Rhinolophus ferrumequinum: one gene and its partners. Each later gene encodes a partner of the first gene's protein in a complex. Links are inferred from orthologs where the notes say so. Each region holds a gene or a part of one and is shown in the gene's direction. Other genes may lie near its edges. The genes, in order: B9D2, TMEM231 and TMEM107.

The links.
Region 2: B9D2 (region 1) and TMEM231 share a complex: the UniProt entries of both Homo sapiens proteins name them as parts of the tectonic-like complex. The link is inferred for Rhinolophus ferrumequinum from reciprocal best matches to the Homo sapiens genes B9D2 and TMEM231.
Region 3: B9D2 (region 1) and TMEM107 share a complex: the UniProt entries of both Homo sapiens proteins name them as parts of the tectonic-like complex. The link is inferred for Rhinolophus ferrumequinum from reciprocal best matches to the Homo sapiens genes B9D2 and TMEM107.

Annotation. Positions count from the first base shown.
Region 1 is NC_046298.1:39,663,935-39,667,681, reverse strand, and holds the start of B9D2 (B9 domain-containing protein 2), read left to right. Parts: upstream 1-794; 5' UTR 795-878; coding exon 879-1,138; intron 1,139-1,608; coding exon 1,609-1,700; intron 1,701-3,747. UniProt on the Homo sapiens protein: Component of the tectonic-like complex, a complex localized at the transition zone of primary cilia and acting as a barrier that prevents diffusion of transmembrane proteins between the cilia and plasma membranes.
Region 2 is NC_046298.1:22,920,116-22,923,862, reverse strand, and holds the start of TMEM231 (transmembrane protein 231), read left to right. Parts: upstream 1-983; coding exon 984-1,122; intron 1,123-1,230; coding exon 1,231-1,400; intron 1,401-3,747. UniProt on the Homo sapiens protein: Transmembrane component of the tectonic-like complex, a complex localized at the transition zone of primary cilia and acting as a barrier that prevents diffusion of transmembrane proteins between the cilia and plasma membranes.
Region 3 is NC_046304.1:10,817,873-10,821,619, forward strand, and holds TMEM107 (transmembrane protein 107), read left to right. Parts: upstream 1-942; 5' UTR 943-1,109; coding exon 1,110-1,196; intron 1,197-1,354; coding exon 1,355-1,422; intron 1,423-1,524; coding exon 1,525-1,625; intron 1,626-2,073; coding exon 2,074-2,170; intron 2,171-2,398; coding exon of another isoform or gene 2,399-2,468; exon of another isoform or gene 2,469-2,488; coding exon 2,489-2,591; 3' UTR 2,592-3,193; downstream 3,194-3,747. UniProt on the Homo sapiens protein: Plays a role in cilia formation and embryonic patterning. Requires for normal Sonic hedgehog (Shh) signaling in the neural tube and acts in combination with GLI2 and GLI3 to pattern ventral and intermediate neuronal cell types.

The DNA of each region.
Region 1 (3,747 bases):
CCAGGTCCAGTTGCTGTTGTTAGTTGCACGGGCGCAGCCCACCATCCCTTGTGGGAGTCGAGGAATCGAATCGGCAACCTTGTGGGTGAGAGCCCACTGGCCCATGTGGGAATCGAGCCCGCAGCCTTTGGCATTAGGAGCACGAAGCTCCAACCGCCTGAGCCATCGAGCCACCGGGCCGGCCCCTTATATAAATATTGTCCTATTGAAATGTTGCCCCATTTTGCTAAAAAGTAAGGGACTAAGAAGCTAAGTTCCCTTTGGACTCCTGGTCTGGGCTGGAGGAATAAAGCACTATGGTTAAACTCTATTTAGAAAGCGGCAAAGGCACTGCTCAGGAAATCAGAATGAGAGCCTCTGGCTCAGTCACTGTCCTTGTGTCCACTGCGTGGATGAGAAAACTGAAACCTTAGAGCTGTGCAACGTCACACAAGTTACTTGGCAGAGTCCAGTCTTCTAGAGCGGATTTTCTGCAGATAAAGGAGCCTCAGTTCCTCATTTTTACCACTTCACCACACCCCACCCCTTGCTCAGAATCAGCACAACAGAACTGGGCAGTATTTCTGAGAGGGAAGTTGGATTATCAGTCCCTTGGACCCTGGGGAACTTTAAAAAAGGAAGGAAAACCCCCTCCCCAACTTGAGGAAGGATTTTTTTTTTTCCAGTCATGAAGCAGAAGGGTGCATTCTTCTGAGGGGGAGTCCCCCTTGGCACTGGCTCAAGTCGCTGGTTGGTGGTCCCCGCTGGAGAGGAGTTTGGAGGGGTATGGGGAATCGATGGACTTGTTTATTTTGTTAAGACAGTTATCTGGGAAATACAGTTTGCGCTCAAACTTCCTCAGCCACACTCAAGATGGCAGCTGTTAGGCCACGCCCCAAATGCCAGAACCTTGCGTTGTGACTGGGAGACGCTTTTCCCAAAATGGAGAGAACGTCCATCACACCTTAGCCCCGCCCCCACAGGCAGCAGGGCCAATAAGGCAAGGAAGGGAGGCTGCTGTTGCCCTAGTAACAACCAGGGAGGCCGAAGGCGGGCGCGACGGCGAAAGGCTCGGCACCTCGGATCTCTCGCTGTCCGGAAGGTCCTGGGAGAAGCGCGAACTAGGCCTGGGAGTCAGCGCCCGCGGAGAGAGGGTCAGGTCAGGCCCATGAACTCTTACCCCCGCTGCCGCTTTCACCCCTCCTAACCGTTAGGTGTTCTGAAATAGGAATAGCGCATGCGTATGCTTAGAGGCGGGGCTTTGGTGGTTCTGCACTTAAAACGCATGCGCGTCAGGGAGCTGGGGGGAGCCGACGACACTAGGAGGCGGAGCTTTTGTGCTTGTGGGCGGGGCCTTGACCTTTGAGGCGGGGCTTTCCGTTGCACTAAGAGGAAGAGTTTATTTTAGGGGCCGGCTGAATTAGACGCCAGTTCCTCAGCCCAGCCCTCATTTTTTTCGAGACTCTCCTGGAAAGGCAATTAGGATCATGGTTCAGACCCCAGCCTCAGTGGTTTGACGAAACTAGCTTGGAATCCTAGTACTGCCCCTTATTTGGAGAGCCTTTTTCCTATCTGTCAGGTGGAAACAGTGTCCTTAACAGGGCTGTGATTATATTTTTCTCCTCTCAGGGCCATGGCTGAGGCGCACGTGATTGGGCAGATCGTGGGGGCCACCGGTTTCTCAGAAAATAGCCTCTTCTGCAAGTGGGGCGTGCACACAGGTATTGCGCGGGGCCTGGTTCATTTCCCCACCAAGACCCCCAGCCTAGAGGTTCCACCCTCTTTCCTTGACCAACTGGCCCTGTCGCTACTCCTTGTCTTACATCGGCTGTCAGCACTCCTAACCCTGACTACACTGTGTACATGTGAATTTCAGGCTCCCTTCTTATCCCTTCCCAGCCCATCTCTGGAGGCTCTGGCTCCCACCTCTGAACACATAGCCCTTAAGGATATGGGACTATAGGCTAGACTACACACACACACACTCCAATCCTCAGAACACCAGACAGCCTTAACCCTACTTCACTCACTGTCTCAGGGGTGCCCTGGGACCCTCCTCGCTCTTAATTCTTTGCTTAACAGCCTCCATTTATTGAGTTACTGTAAAATGGAAATTTCCATCCCAAATTTACAGAGAGACTACCCTCCTGTGTTCATAATTCTCTGTGAGAAGGTAGGAACCCCATTCTGGCAGTCATCCAAGTCCATCCACAAGGCCCAGGAGGGACCTTGAAGGGCCCAGTTTTCATGCCTCCCCATGGGAGGCAGTAGAGCCTGGTATAGTGTCCTGGCTAGGACCTCCAGATCTGGGCTCAAATACTAACTCCACCACCTATTAATTGGAGGCCTTTGGACTTAACCAAGCCTCAGTTTGCTTGTCTGAAAGTGAAGCTAATAGCAACTGAGAGGCAGCATAGTATTGAAGTTAAGAGCACAGACTGCCTAGGTTCAAAACCAGCTGTTGCTTATTAATTTTGTGACCTTGACACTTTCCCTGATTGTACATGGGCATAACAACCACCTACCTTATGGGGTGGTTATGAGGACTGAATGAATAACAATGGCACTTAGGAGAGGGCCTGGCCTAGTAAGTTCTCAGTGTCTGCCTGGCTTGTGTAAAAATTGGATGGAATCTTGTTTGTAAAGCCCTTGATATGTTGCCCAACACAGATAAATGCCCGTGAAAGGAATGTGGTTGTTGTCATCATCATCTCTTCCGGCCCTGGGTCCTTTGCAATTCCACTGGTGGCCAGGGTGGTGGTTGAGATTCCTTGGGAAACTGTGGTTCTCCAGGAGAGCTGATGAAGAGGCAGGCTCTGGAGTCAAACTCGGTTTCCATTCTGGGCCCCACCATTCACCTGCTCTGTGACCCTGAGCAGGTGCTTTCCCCTTTTGGAGCCTCAGTTTCCTCAATTGTGAAGTGGGATATTTGTCCCTCACAGGGGTGTTGGGAAGTATTGTATGTGAAAAGCCTGACTCAAGGCCTGGTGCTTTCCTCCCCTAGCCCAGAGGGAGCAACAACTCATAAGGTTTTTGTTATTTCAAGGAGTTGTTGTGGGGGGCATTGAATCCAGCAGAGAGCTTGGGGGCAGTTGGATAAAGGGCTTGGGCTCTGCAGTCAGACAGAGCTCAGTTTGAGTCCTGCTACACCATGGGACCTTGGTCTGCTGCGGTCCTGCTCTACGTCCAGCATGGGGATTAGTGCTTGGCACACAGCACGTGTTCAATAAATGTGCGTAGAATGAATGGACAACTGACTTTCCTTCTCAGCGTCTGTTTCTTTGCCTGTAAAATGGGGGTTATACAGAGGGTGCCGAAAAAATGTGTACACATTTTAAAAAGGAAAAAAATATTAAAATTGCAATAATATATACCAATAACAAAAGATGAACACAGGGGCGGCCGGATGGCTCAGTTGGTGGCAAGGTGGCTCAGTTGGTTAGAGCGCGAGCTCTTAACAACAGGGTTGCCGGTTTGATTCCCACATGGGCCAATGAACTGTGCCCTCCACAACTAGATTGAAAACAATGGCTTGAGCTTGGAACTGAGCCGCTGGTGGGTGACCGGTTGGCTCAGTGGTTGTCGTGCCATCCTCCTAACACCAAGATCGCTGGTTCAAGTCCCACATGGGCCAGTGAGCTGTGCCCTCCACAACTAGATTGAAAAAACAACGACTTGACATCCTGGAAAAACACACTGTTCCCCAATATTCTCCAATAATAATAATAATGATAATAAAAGATGAATACAAGTCACGTTTGACTTCTA
Region 2 (3,747 bases), about 17 Mb from region 1:
CTTGACCTCTCTTTATGTTGTTAGGATCTTGACTTCTCTTCATCTAAAAGCCATTTCTAGGTTGCCTTCAAAATAAGGGCATCGACTACTCGACTCCATTCTGAGTACATATTCTGAGCATAAACCTCACACTATGTTTTTGATGCAAACAACAACTTTGATATGAACCATGATAAAAAAAACAACAACTTTGATGTAATCCATGATAAAAAAAAAAAAAAAGGAAAGAAAGGAAGAAAGAAAGAAAAAAATTCTATGCCATGTTCGAAATACTGGTTTGGAGTGAGGGCAGGAGGGCACAATTAAGTGATAAGCCAATGTTATCTTTGGGGAAGACCATAGCTTCCCCTAAAACCGATTGCAGAGCTTGTACCCAATACAGGGTAACAAAGTATAGCAGAGCTGTGTAGTAATTATCCTTTATCCCACGAAGAACCGGGAGATTTGTGTCCTGTTTCTGTGTCTGTCCTGCTATGGAGTATAGTGAAAGCAACAGAAAATTTGGAAACAAAGGGACCTGGGTTTGGTCTTAGCCCAGGACCAAGTGCAAGACCACCAGCACATGTATGTTATGTGTTTTCCTCCCGTGTAGGTGTGCTGGTTGGTTGGACTTACGAATGAACGACATTGGTTCATGGTTAATGAATGACACATAGCAGGTATTTACTTTGAGTCAACTTCTATGAAAATCTTATATTTTACACAAATGTTAACACGGGCGACAGCTACGATTTTGGTGCACAGAAACACTTCATCTCAGCCTTTGGGAAAGCGCGCGTAGCGCACAAAGCGAAGTGGACCAACCCAGAGGGCCCGCCCCCCGTTAGCCCCACCCCTACCAAGGCCCTTGCTATTGGTTCCTTTTCCTGCGCCGTCGGTTGCCGTAGAGACCAAGGCTATGGCAACCAGGAGAAGCCAAACTTGGTAGTCCCTCGGCGACTGCAGAGGGTCCGAAGCGTGCGGCCACACTCCGCGCGGCGCTCATGGCGCTCTACGAGCTCTTCTCTCACCCAGCCGAGCGCGGCTACCGCGCGGGGCTCTGCTCCAAGGCCGCGCTGTTCCTGCTGCTGGCCACCGCGCTTACGTACATCCCGCCGCTGCTAGTGGCCTTCCGGAGCCACGGTGAGCCTGCCCCCGGCCGATGCGCGACACAGCTCCCGGCGGCCCCGCTGCGCCCGCGCGGGCCTGCCTGACCTCCTCCCCACCGTCCTCTCGCCCTCTTTACCTCAGGGTTTTGGCTGAAGCGGAGCAACTACGAGGAGCAGCCGACCGTGCGCTTCCAGCACCAGGTCCTGCTCGTGGTCCTGCTGGGACCGGAGCGCGGCGGGTTCCTCGCCTGGAGCACGTTCCCCGCCTTCAACCGGCTGCAGGGGGATCACCTGCGTGTCCCGCTCGTTTCGGTGCGTGGTTCCTGCTCGGGCCTAGCTGTGCACCCGGACTGGGTGGGGGGTCAGGCTGGGTGGGGGAGGAGGCTAGAGGCCCGGCCCCGGGCGAGCCCAGCTTTGGGGTTCGGGAACCCACGGTAAGTTGTGTACACAGGCTCAGTAGCCTGACATATGTTTGATTTCGTGGGAAGCAATTCTTGTTTCATTCGACTTCTCCAAGCTGCCCACACCCCAAGAAAATCAGCCACTGTTGTCAGCGTCTGCTTCCTGACACAGTCCAGAAGGCTGCGACAGCCAGTTTCTGACCCCCGTTATTTCCGTGGGTCTGGTCTGATAGAAAAGTGGTCGCGAAAGTCCCTTTATGAGTCATGAAGGGCGAGCGGTGTTCTTGTTACAACCCCATTGTGTGCACGGGGTAATTGTGCATCGAAACACGGTAGGAACGCAAAGCGCAGGCGCTGATTGGTGGAGCGACTTCCCAATGGCCCAGTCCCGCCACCCTGGGCTTGTCTCATTAGATGCTGCTCCATCCTGCAGCTGTCCAGGATGAAACTAAAGCATTTTACTGTCTGTAATTTAGTATTTGGTTCAGGATAAGGGAGTGCTTCCTTTACAAGCACTTCTTTCTGCTCATTTTTTGGAAAACATTTTCCTTTAGAAGTATGCAAATTCTGGTTTTCCTTCTTCCAAAGTTGAATCTCTTTAGACATCTCTGAGATGATTGGTCTACAAGCCAAACTTGTGTAGCTGGAAAAAAAAAAATTCAGACTTTTTTCCCAGCATCTAAAAATGAAAAAAAAAATTAATCTTATTGGTTATATGAATAACTACAAACAAAATATGAATCAGATTACTTTTTTCCAATTTAAAGTTTCTTACACTTTTCTGATTATAAAAATGTATACTCATTGTAAAATATTAGAGTGACAGATACATATAATGACATAAAATTAAAGGCTCAGTTTGGTACATGTATCAATACTTGTTAATCAACCTCATTCTTTTTAAGATCTGCAAGGTATTTCATGATATGGAAAAACTGTTCTCATTGGTGGGTATTGATTTATTTTTTCAGTATTAGAGAGAATGTTGCAGTGAATGAGATTTTGAATAAATCTCACACCTTTAAACATCAAATTGTGAGAAGTGCAATAGAAGCTGTTTGTTGAAATTGTGTAAGTACATAGAAAACTAAGCAAGCAAATAAAATAATTATTAACTCCAGAGAAATAAAAGTAAGGAAAGGAAAGGAAAAGTAATCAGTGTTGTGAATATGAGTTACATAGTCAAATGAGACTTTAACTCTCCTGGAGGATGGGGCGAGAGAGAGAGAGAGAGAGAGAGAGAGAGGAGTGAGGGGAGGAAAACTAAATATTCATCTCTGGAAATCAACAGGGAATGCCTGAAATGAAGTGAAAATATTTGCCATAGGGATGGAAGTCTGCTGGGAAGTCTACAACAATGTTGTAACACACATTGTTGAACTCTTTCATTCTTTAAATGATCAGTACTTTTAAATTGATTATTAAAACAGAACTGGAGTAGGAGACAAATTTCTTTCAATAGCTCTTCACTAATCATGACCTGTTGCCCATTTTTAATTCATATTTGAGATTATAATGCCTCTGAAGAAGGGTGCCTGGATGAGAGGCCAGTGCCCAGGTATGCTTACATTCCACATGTGTACGTTGCCTTTCCAAAAGTGTAAACAAAAGGTTTTTTATTCCAAACAAAAAATTTGTTAGTTTTACTTTAGGTTAGCATTCCCTGTCTTTTAAATTTTGAGTAGCAATTTTTTTCTTTAGATTGGTATATTCCTCTCTATCATACTCTTCTGGTTACTTGAGTCTAAGAAATCATCATGAAAACTTAAAATAATCATGAACACAAGGATATAACATTAGGTTTCACTCATTTGTCCTTTTCACTTGTTCATCCACCACAACTGGTTGACTCCCCAGTTGGACTGCTAGTTAGTCTATTATCTCTCTAACCAGAAACTACTCCCTTGAGAGCACTGCCCATGTTCCCTCTGCTTCTGGTATGTGTGTGCAGATGTTAAATCTGCAAAGCCAAGACTACCTCTTATTTTTATGGTGTCCGGAACTATTAATACTCTTTAATACTGGGCAGTTTTACACTAAAATACAAAACCAAAGCTTCTTTTTCTCAGTCTTTTTTTTTTTCTCCTCCACTCTAGGCCTATGTCTATAAGTAATTTATGACCTTGTCATCTATAGTCTTTCTCAAATAACTGATTTCCTTCCTTCTTCGCTGAGCTCAAGGATTTCTTATTCCATATGTTATACTCTTAACCCTTATTGCAACAAAATATTTTATTTTTCTAACTCTAAATATGAAG
Region 3 (3,747 bases), on another chromosome or scaffold:
TGTTATTGGACTCTGAGCAATAATCACAGGTGAGAACTTTCCGTTCTTTAGGGATCCCCGTTGAGGCCCAAAGGTCAGTGAAGTCGCCGACAGTTAGAAGTTCTTGGACTGTAACTGGGCAAAGTCGGGTGTCCACACCTGAAAGATGTAAGGAAATCGAAGCAGTCTGCATCGCTGCCCTCTCCTCGCCTCCCAGGGACGCGGGTACCATTCCCTTCCTCCAATCCCTCCTAGTCGGCTCCGTAGTCCACTCCCTTCCCAAAAGACGCTTCTCATCCACATTCTAGTTCAAGAGAGCTGGCCATTTTCTGCACTCTGCAAATCTCTCGCCAAACTGAGCAAAGTTGTCTGAGGGGGAATCAGAATCAAGGAAGGTTCAGGTCTAGGGTCCTAGAACAACCAGGGGCTCCGTGACAATAAGTGACAGCTGGACAATCTAGGGATATCCACCTCTCCACGTTCGGCTTCCTTCGTCTCTTCGGGCCCAGGGCAGTGGGATGCTAGAGAGACGCGGAAGAGGAAAGGAGAGAAAGTGTCCATGCCTAAGGCATGGGGGTGCCCTAAGTCCCGCACGGCGGTGACAAGGGTCAGCAGCGAGTAACTCTTACGCGGAAGGTCATCCTGGGCTACGCAAGGGGGTGTGGGCCCGGGTCGCTCCTGAGGTAGGACATCGCGGAGGAACGGGTGTTCCCAGGCTAGGACAGGGCGGTTTTCCGTCCTCTGGACCCGCGTGGGAAAATTCGGCGGTGCGGGACCCAGTCACACAGCACAGTCTCAGGTGCAAACAGACGGCTCGGCTGCGCGTGGGGAGCTGGCGGGAGGCGGGCACCCTACTGCGACCACCCTCAGCTGACCCCAGACCCACGCTCTCCAGGAGGTCCACTGCGACTCGAGAATTTACTGATCTCGCGAGATTTTCAGAGATCCGGTCCTGGTGTCCGCCTCCGCGGTTGCTAAGGCAACTGGGCGGCGCCAGTGAAAGCGGGAAGACGGCGTACGTCGAATTTTTGCCTGCTAACCTGGGAGACTTTCAAGAGTGGCGCTGCCTGAGCTTCCAGCCTTAGAGACCACGGCCTCTGCTCCAGGAGGTGCCCTTACCCCTCGGAGCCATGGGCCGGATCTCGGGGCTCGTGCCCTCTCGCTTCCTGACGCTCCTGGCGCATCTGGTCGTCGTCATCACCTTATTCTGGTCCCGGGTAAGATCCACGGCCACCCTCCACCCAACCCCCATTCCCACGTCGGTGTGGTCCCAGCCCAACACCGCTCTATCCCCAGGGCCTGACCCGGTTGGGTCTTCCTATCCCCCGCTGCCCACCCCTCTTTCACTTCTCTTTCTCTGTGACCTGCTCAACAGGACAGCAACATCCAGGCCTGCCTGCCTCTCACGTTTACCCCTGAGGAGTATGAGAAGCAGGACATTCAGTGAGCACTTGGGGAGGGGTGGTCAGAATTAAGTAGTAGTTGGAGTGGAAGGGTCTTAGAAGAAGTCCAGAAGGCCTGAGCCAACCCCCTTCCTCTCTGCAGGCTGGTGGCAGCGCTGTCTGTCACCCTGGGCCTCTTTGCAGTGGAGCTGGCCGGTTTCTTCTCAGGAGTTTCCATGTTCAACAGTACCCAGAGCCTCATCTGTATCCTTTCTGCCTGCGTACCTTTCCCACAGGGGCCATTGCCATCGCTACTCCCTTCAGCCACCTAACTTTTTGGTACAATAGTGCCTGCCCTAGCAGGCAAACAGAATCTCTCCAGTTGAGAGATCTTCTTAGATAATTTAATACAATCTCTTGTGTAGCCTGGGGTAAATTGGGAACCCACTTCTACCTCATCTGAAGAGTCCAGGCTGGCCCCTAGATCTGGGATGGGGGCAGCCTGCGGTCCCAGCTGTGCAGGCTCAGCTCTAGCCTCTACTCACATGGCTGTCCTAAAACTCAGAAGGCAGGGCTACTGGCTCTGTGCCTTCGCAATTGGCGAGGGAGCAAGAAATGAACCAGACACAGATGCCAGCCCCACCACTGGCCTTTTCTGGTCCACCACTGCCTCTGGATCCAAAGACTTTCCTTGACTCAGGGGCGTTCCCAGCCATCGGGGCTCACTGTAGTGCGTCTGTGGCACTATCCTTTTTCATATTTGAGCGTTGGGAGTGCACCACATACTGGTACATTTTTGTCTTCTGCAGGTACAGTAACATCCAATGTTTGGGGATGGGATGGGGGAGGAAGGTTTACTGTAAATCTGAAGGTAGCCCCACCCAGCCCTTTACTCCATGTGTGAGATACCAGATCCACTCAAAGTCCTGTATTTAGTTTTTTGAAGTCCCGCTCCACCTATACTTTGGGGGTGGGGTCTCTGGTTCGGGGATTTTTATTGGAAGGGGCCCTGAACCCACCACCTTAACCTTCCATAGTGCCCTCCCAGCTGTCACTGAAATGGCATTATTCATCAGCGTCTTTGGGTTGAAAAAGAAACCTTTCTGATCACTTTCATGGGAGCCTAGGGAGGAAGGCTGGAGAAGCAAGGGACCATTGACCGTTCCTGGAAGGAGGAAAGCAAAATCTTCAACCTTCCCCCGTAAGACTGCATTTGGTGGAGGATTTTAAAGTAATTATCTGTCGAGTCTGGGATTATCAGCGTTTTATTTAATGATTTGTAATAAAACCTATTTTAGAGTAAGATCAAGGCTTACAAAAATTTCAGAGGAGAATTGGGGTAGCCAAACTACTAGAGAAACGGAAGGCTGTTTTCCTTGCAGATTGTATCGCTTTTTTGGTTATTACGGTAGACGCCGGGCAGAAGGGAGTGGGCGGAGATATGTAAATAAGTAATGCCAGCAGGACTGCAAGATCGTGGAGTGGAGCATTCTGGGGAAGTTAGTTTATCCCTTTTGGCAGCCAAATGGGGAAAAACCTGTATTTTAAAAAGATCTGCAAATAAATGTAGCAACAGAAATGTAAGAATATGAATATTTTAGGTAGCTCCGACTAACATGTTATATTCTCACCCTTGCTTATAGCGGAATCTTTTTTACTGAATATGGTAATGCCGTCAGAAGTTCCTTATCGTCAGGTAGGATAATCCTTACCTGTTCCTCTTCGGAGGACAGATTAGAATGTGATGATTGGAGTTCGCATGATTCGTGATTAACGTCTCTGCGTAATCAGGTCTTGCAACACCCTGATTGCTCCTATCTGATTCTTCCTGGCGATCATTTCTTTTACAATTGTAGTAGTTGGAGTTTACTGGTTGTAGGTTTTACTTAATGAGTGGTTTTGTTATCTCGTTGTTTTAGTTTGTGGAGTGTCTTTAGGCGGATTTGTTTGGAAGCTGCTAGTTCCGTTTTCTGACCTTGAGGCTCTACGTTAACATACAAGATTTTTCTTTCAATTTCTGGGCCAATTCAAGTGCCGAGTACTCCCAGTTTTTTTCTGGAGAAATCTTTGTCACCAGTAAATGTTTTTTGTTATCTCTGGGCTTTGCTATCAAACGATCGTTAATGTTGATCATACCACGTGGTGTCATAAATGGTCTTTTGTCAAACCTTCCACCTCACCATGGTGAGAAGGGCACGTGCTCAGGGAGAATTTCTCTGGTGGTTGGAGCTCCTACCCAGAAACCTGGCAAACCTGTTGTTCGCAGAGGAACACTCCACCTGTTAGCATCTGCCTGCTAGCACATGAAAAGAACATGTTTAAAAGAAAAATTATTAAAACACACACAAACTAAAAGCATTATACACACGAACTACAAGAGTCTAAA